Linked DNA regions of Oryzias latipes. The protein of the gene in region 2 binds, or shares a complex with, the protein of the main gene of each other region. Links are inferred from orthologs where the notes say so. Each region holds a gene or a part of one and is shown on either strand. Other genes may lie near its edges.

Evidence for each region.
Region 1: sf3b2 (region 2) and ppil2 share a complex: the UniProt entries of both Homo sapiens proteins name them as parts of the minor spliceosome. The link is inferred for Oryzias latipes from reciprocal best matches to the Homo sapiens genes SF3B2 and PPIL2.

The regions. Positions count from the first base shown.
Region 1 is NC_019867.2:618,761-622,412, reverse strand, and holds part of ppil2 (peptidyl-prolyl cis-trans isomerase-like 2), read right to left. Parts: intron 3,619-3,652; coding exon 3,458-3,618; intron 1-3,457. UniProt on the Homo sapiens protein: Has a ubiquitin-protein ligase activity acting as an E3 ubiquitin protein ligase or as an ubiquitin-ubiquitin ligase promoting elongation of ubiquitin chains on substrates.
Region 2 is NC_019876.2:19,503,982-19,508,064, forward strand, and holds the start of sf3b2 (splicing factor 3B subunit 2), read right to left. Parts: upstream 2,908-4,083; 5' UTR 2,828-2,907; coding exon 2,704-2,827; intron 2,267-2,703; coding exon 2,220-2,266; intron 1,620-2,219; coding exon 1,389-1,619; intron 1,131-1,388; coding exon 1,095-1,130; intron 974-1,094; coding exon 901-973; intron 722-900; coding exon 621-721; intron 444-620; coding exon 335-443; intron 3-334; coding exon 1-2. UniProt on the Homo sapiens protein: Component of the 17S U2 SnRNP complex of the spliceosome, a large ribonucleoprotein complex that removes introns from transcribed pre-mRNAs.

The sequences.
Region 1 (3,652 bases), on a different chromosome or scaffold from region 2:
CAAAGAACAAACAGGCAAACAACAAACAAACTAACAACCACCAAACAACAAGCTAACAGGCAAACTACAAACAACCAAACAACAAGCTAACAGGCAAACAACAAGCTAACAGGCAAACAACAAGCTAACAGGAAAACAACAAACAAGCAACAAGCTAACAACAAACAATAAGCTAACAGGCAAACAACTAGCTAACAGGAAAACAACAAACAAACAAGCTAACAACAACCAAACAAGCTAAAAACAAACAAACAAACAAGCTAACAGGCAAACAACAAACAAACAAACAACAAGCTCACAACAACCAACAAGCTAACAGGCAAACAACAAGCTAACAGAAAAACAACAACCAAACAACAAGCTAAAAACAAACAAACAAACAAGCTAACAGGCAAACAACAAACAAACAAACAACAAGCTAACAGGCAAACAACAAGCTAACAGGAAAACAACAAACAACCAAACAACAAGCTAACAACAAACAACAAGCTAACAGGCAAACAACAAACAAACAAACAACAAGCTAACAGGCAAACAACAAGCTAACAGGAAAACAACAAACAAACAAACAAACAACAAGCTAAAAACAAACAAACAAGCTAACAGGCAAACAACAAGCTAACAGGAAAACAACAAGCTAACAGGCAACAAACAAACAACAAGCTAAAAACAAAAAACTAACAACAAATGAACAACAAACGAATGAACAACAAACAAACAAACAACAAACGAACAGCAGGTGAACAGCTGGCGAACTACAAACAAAATATGAACACACGAACAACAATCAACCAAAAAGTACCATTGTAAAAGTACCAAGTAAGTAACCAGTAAATTCCATAAAAAGTACACATGTAAACACTGTAAGTACCCAGTAGTTACACAAAAAGTACCATGTAAATACCGCTTAAGTACACTGTAAGGACTGTACTGTAAAGGAAAGCGTTACTGAAAACCTTAGAGCCGGTTTCCAGGGGGGTATTCCAGACAGTAGGTTATGCTAGCTCTCACGGTAAGTTTGAGGCTAAGGAAGTTGATAACCTCAGCTTTCAGTTCCAAAAACAGAGGTATGTTTCAGGGTATGTCAAGTTGCCATAGCAACTCATGCTCTGAACATAACCTGGTCTGGAGCAGGTTTAGTTGAAGGTTAGTTTGTTTTCAGAGAGGTGAAGCAGCATGGCGTGTCCATTTGAAGATGATTTAGTGGATGAAGAAGCTCAGATAATACTTTTTCCACCATGAGAGGGGGATAAGACCACATATGGATGTTGGAAAGAGAAACTTTTTTACTTTGATCTAACTTAGTTATTTGCTTCAGTTAAGATAAATCCTTTGTTTGTTAAGTCAGTTTAAAAATAACACGTAGTTTTCAGACAGTCATTTTACTTTCATTCAAATTAATTCAATTAAGTAGGTTTAACTTTGGTGCTGCTGTTAGACCGGCACCGCAAGGGATTGTGGGATACCATTCCTTTTGCCTATCTGGACGGATTTGGGTTTAAGTGTGGCTTTTTGACCAAATGTGTTTAGTTGTTTAGCTGTTTTGCCGAGTTATTTTGTCCCACTGTGCTTATGTCTCTGCACCATGAGTGAGAGTGAAGGAGAGGATGATGAGTTTATAGAGCACCCCTACCGTTACATATTGTAATGACAAAGACGGACAATTCTTTAATGAATTTGTGCACAATGTGCATTTCTTTCCCGTCCTTTTTATTGTTATAAAAATGAACATATCTGCCGGCTCATACTTAGACATATGAGAGATCAAGAAATATAATTAATTAAGATGGAAAAATATTAATTGAATTGGAGTAATATGACATTTAGTTAGATAAATACATAAATTTGAGTTGTAAAAACAATTATTGAGTTTTATAGACGTAAGAAATTAGGTTGATTAAATTTAACTCAATTATTTGTTACCAATAGAAGTATTTCATTTAAGGTGGCAAAATTGGATAAGTTATATATATATGCGTCACAAGGAAAATGGAAATAAGATCAGAAACTCGTGCGTTTACTTTGTCTGTTCTTTTTCTCCAAGCAGAAACTTTCTTTTGCTGATGATGCAGCCGTGTCACTTTTTTGATGGTCGTATAATCTTCATACGCCGTCATTAATCTCAGACTCCGTCTCACTGAAGTATAGCGTTCTCTTTTTTTCTCCACGCGTTTCCATGGTGACTCCAGAAATCGGCGATCTATTGAGAATGTCTTTATGTACCTGCTGTGCACGTGCATTAACCCAGGGTTACCAAGTGGAGCGTAATTACACCAACTCATATCCGGTCTTTGGGAACCGACATACCCAGAGTAAGCAAGTTCAGGCAGATTTCAGCCAGAGTTCAGGCTTAAAGTCAGGGGAGTTTAAACATGCTTCCTGGAATACCCCCCTGAATAACTGCAATATTGATAATAAAAACATACATTTGTTGACTCCTTGAACATCAGAAAACCTGGTTTTCAGAGAAACGATCAACTATTCATTGAAGAAAAGCTGATGGTTTTAAAATGCCGACAAACTAAAAGGACATTAAAGGCAAGAGAGGCTTTCATGAACTCAACGTTTTGATTTAACATGATGGATGTAAACCTGGAGGCACGCCTCTTCGCTGCAGCGCTGAGGATTTGCGGCCCTCTCGTCCTCGCGTGCACATTTGTTGACACGGCGTTTGAGCAAAGCCGACAGCTCAGTGAGCAGAAAATGAACGTGGAGCCACAGACTTTACACGTTTCTGCTCCAGTTGCTGTGAAAGCTCAGACTTCACCTCATTTGCTGTGTCTGTTCTCTCAGACCACCTTCACCTCCAGACCGCCATGTTCAGGAAACCTCTGTGCCAAACGCAGCCCAGCAGCAAAAAGAAGCTTCAAAATGAGGAGAAAAGCTGCTCCAGTCTGACTGATTAGCTGTCATGTCAGTCAGTCCAACTCTGCTGTAGCTGCACACCTGTCTGTCTGGCTCCCTCTTGTGTTGGAAGCAGATATGGCACTTTTCATGAGCTGCTGGCTAAAAACGAACAGCTGATCTGACAGTGAAACGATCCAGACGGTTCATTTTACTGACAGAGCTCTGCTCCGTGAAGCAGCTTTCATTAGAGGAAAAACCAAACAGGTTGGCATCATTAAAAACCTGCTGTCCTTGTTTTCCAGTCAAACAAAAAGGCAGCAAGGCTCCTACGGTATTTATCATGTGACCAGGAACAGCTGAGCCATTGGCTTCATTTGTCTGAGTTGAAATGATGGATTTGAAAAACAAAAAAACAGCTGAGATCTCTGCTGCATGTGGGAGGGGCTGAGTCACTGCTGCATTAGGCAATTGTTCAGCAGTAAAAACAGAATCTGCTTCATAATTATTCAACAACTCTGAGGAGAAGAACAAGAAGCTCTGACGCTACGCCAAAACAAAGTGTGTCAGAACAACGTCAGGAGGAGTTTATTCCTATCAGGGTTCTACTCACAGCATTTAGTTTGTCCGTTTTCTTGGCCTCCGGCTCCTTCATGGTGGAGGCCAGCAGCTGATCTCCTTTGTATTCCTTGTAGAGCTCGGCTAAGGTCTCCCTGGTTTCCAGATTGGTGCTGTTCAGATGGTACGCTGGGTCCTGCTTGGCCTTCTCCTCGTCTTAATAAAGGAGAATTAAAATAAAAAATTCAGT
Region 2 (4,083 bases):
ATCTAAAACAAAGCAAAGGGAAGTAAAAACAGTGATTCTTTCTCCAAACGTGCTTCCTAGTTGCTGACAAGCTTCAACCATCTTGATTAAAGTTTTAACTATGCTTTTTTGTTTTGGTTTTATAATCAGTAATAAAAAAAATCACACTTAAGGCAGATCAGGTTCTGTTGAAAAAAATAAAGCAAAAAAAAAAAAAAAATCAGACTTTAAATTAAATAACCAAAAAACACATATCCATGCTATACCCTAAAATAAAAATGTTTTAGGGGCCATACCTTACGACAGTAACAGTGAATGTAAAGAATCTGGAGATATTTTATTTTGTAAGTCTAACCTGCTGGATCGACAAGCTGCTCCTGCCTGATCTCCTTCAGCTGAAGGATCTTCTCCAGAGCCTGTGGGATCTTGGGCCCGCCAACACTAATCTCTTCATTCTGCCAGATCTGCAGGAAGAAAGGAATTGCAGTTTAACACTAAACCAGCAGGTTGTCGCATTTTAATCAAAAAAGTTCAAAGAGTTTAAAAAAACTTCAAAAGAATCTAACTTTGCTTAAATCACACCAGAATTAGTGTTAACCTATGTCTAAAACAAAAATTAGAGAAGTGCAGGAAAAACGTACGTCTCTGTTATCTTCTCCTGGAGGGGGTGGCACCTTTTGTTTATGAGATGGCAACAAGGTGACACCAGGAGGTAAAGGCCCGTGAGGATCCAAAACTGAAACTTTGGTTTTGTGAAAAAAACAAATTTGTGATTGATAATGTAAAAATATACTATTAAATGCTGGTTTAACGTCAGCTTGCAACACTGTAGGAAGCAGAGACGTCTTCCCTTGACAAACATTTTGTGACATTGATCTTGAATGGAATCACTTGTAAAAGGTTTTAGGATATTCCACAAACCTCTTACTGCAGAGACAGCTGGCTGCATCTTTGCCATTTCATGATGTCGTTCTTGTTCCAGCAGCACGGCAGCCTAAGGAAGAAATGAATGAGAGATGCAAGCAATATAAAATCACAATAAGAAACAAAGAAAATAAATGTCTTCCTTATTTTAATTGACAGCTGAACAAAATGTGTTGTTTGCAATTCCTTACCCGTTGCTGCTGCTCCAGAAGTTCATTTTCGTCCCCCTGTTTTAGCCAAACAAAAAAAGGCCAATGTTTAGCAAATGTGACTGTTTAGGTGTTTTCTGTTAAAGGTCTCTAGTAAAAAATGTTGGCTTTACCCAAATACATTGAAAAATTGTATCTATGATCGTTGTTTTTACCTAATTTACTTTGTAAAACTTACAATGTTTAAATACAGTCCAGTAATTTTGTTTTGCCGAGTACTACAATATTAGCGATTAATGTGTCAAATGCAGCAGTTGGCCAGTTCTGCCATCCCACCTGATGCTTGGCCCTTTCTTCCTGTTGTAACACAATGGCAGCTCTCTGCTGAACCATTTTAAGCTGATCGTCCTGTGTGAGACCAGGAGGTGGCATGTTTGGATGATCCATTGTCATGTGCATGCCAGAGGGAGGAGCTCCAGGGGGTATCATGTTCATTGCTGGGATCATTCCCATCCCTGGGGGCATAGGTGGCATGGGCATCGGGGGCATGGGAGGAATGCTCGGCACCTGAAAAAAAGAAATGAAAATATTGTGAAAAGAGCAATAGATAGGAGGCTGACTGATATGAAATTAATCTTTTTTATTTTTATTTTGGGCCATTTATTTTTGCTTTTCCACCTGACACATTAAAAATTAGCTAAACATCACATGTCTACAGTCTGATTTATAAATTCAGAAGTTGAACAATGCAGATAAGTTAAAAACAGTCAAAACTAAGTCCACTCAATAGCCTTCATTAGCCAACCAATTATTCTTTGTTAGGCTACTAATGAAATGATTTCCCTTAGTTGTTTGTTGCCATATTAACTTGAGATTTTTGCAATTGAACTATTATCCCTATACAGCATACTAAAACATTTTACAAAATTAAACATACATAAATCCAGATAGACATCGTAAAATTTAAAAAACGTTCCACACCGTTTTAATGGCTCAATGTGAAGGGCTACAAGAGAGATTACCCAAACTATTGGTATAAAACCCTCAAAAACATTTTATTATTATCCATTTGAATAATAGTTTTTAAAATCAACAAGAAAAAAAATGAATTAAGAATGGGAAGTTGCATTTGTGTGGGTGTGATGTTGATTTCGAGGATGAGCTTACCTGCATCATGTAGCCCTTCAGTCTGTCAATGAGTTCCTCTCTAGAGCCTAAATTAAGAGAAGCACGACCATTGTATTTTATTTTAATAATAATTCATCGGTTTGGAGTTATTTATTAACGTAATCAGAGTACCATATGACGTAAAATACCAATTATTGATCACATTATTAGCAAATCCTAAGCAGTTCACAACAATGGAACTGTCGATCATCATCATCAGCAAAAACTTAGCTAGTTTTTGTAAGAAATCATCAAAAGCAATCAATTGTTACGTTTGGTATTCCAACTGTAAAATATTAGACAAAAACGGCTTTTAAAATATGCATATGAAAATACTAAACGGAGTCAAACCATTCTGCGGGCCTGTTGTTGGAGCGCTTTATGACGGAGGTTCAACGACTATGTGCTCCAAGCTAATGCTAGCCGTAAGCTAGCTTCAAAACAACGCGCTTTGATTTTTGCACTATATGGGAGCTTTTCTTACCCATTGTTGGAGCTCCTAGCTCCACCAGCTTCCCCTGAAGCTCTGGGACGCTCCATGTGTTTAATGCTGCGATTACACTACCTAAATCATTCGGGTCCGTGCCCGGCGGTCCGTCAGAAGCCATGTTGAGCAGTCGATCAACGGCGGTGGAAAAAAGAGATAAACTCGCGAGAGACAGAAACGAGAACAAGAAAAAAAAGCAAGGCATTATGGGAGAAACGCAATGGTCTTAGGGATATGAAGTTGTAAATTTTCCTTTAATTTTCCTACGGACGTCTCTGGGTGTCAGTGTTGGCCCGTTAACTGGTTGAAATATGATTTTTGAAAACGTTTTTTTTGTAAACAAATTGATATATTTGTGTAAATAATGTAAAAACGTTGTCCCATTGCTGCTACTACTACTGCTACTACAATGAATGACAACAACAACTACTAATATACTACTACTAAAGACATTGAAGTATATTCGCATTTTCTTTGTACTAGAACAAAATCAAATCCATGACAGGGCAGGGCTCAAATACGTGATGCTGTATAATTTGTTAAATTGATTTTGGGTTGTTAAGAATTGAAATTAACAGAAGTTACAAGTATAAAGGTAAATATGTGCCACAACTTTTTGTAATGTGAGCTAGTTTTCTGTATATATAGCAGGGGTGTCCAACTCATTTTCACCGAGGGCCACATCAGCATAGTGGTTCTCCTCAAAGGTAACTAAATATAATGAAAAATAAACGTAATTATTCCTTAATGTTAAATAACTCATTTATTTATTATAACTTGTTAAAGTGACACAGTTGCACAGAAAACATGTTTGCTTGTTACTCTAGCATAAATCCTTTTAAATTTTATTCTGTCAGGTTAGGTTATATTGACAGTGTTTAAGTCCTAATGTACAGTTGCCCAATCCGATATTTCTACTCCAATTCCCCTTAGATATGAATACACACCAAGTATTGTATTTGGCTCGCGGGCCTTAAGTTTGACAAGTGATATAGAGGTTGTGTGATTGCAGATGAGAGACAGGTGAGTAATAAACGGAAGCAGCTTGGGAACATTCTGGTTTGAGGACAAGGGCTGATGGGAATTGTACTATTGAAACCAAGAAGTGGTCAGTGTTTAGGTGATTGTTCCCACTAATGGGAGATTATTATAGTCCATTATTCCAGTCCAATGCATCGCTGTAAACCCTAATGAGTTGACTGAACTTAAAAATTATTGTGTAACAGATTACGCAATAGTTTTTAAGTTATATTATTAAAACTTTTAAGTTAACATTAATTAAAATTTATATTGTCAGTTGGCTTAAATTTGTATTATTTCATATTAAAAATATTAAGATTCCTCAACTTATAAAAGAGAGATTATTTACTCAAAGTT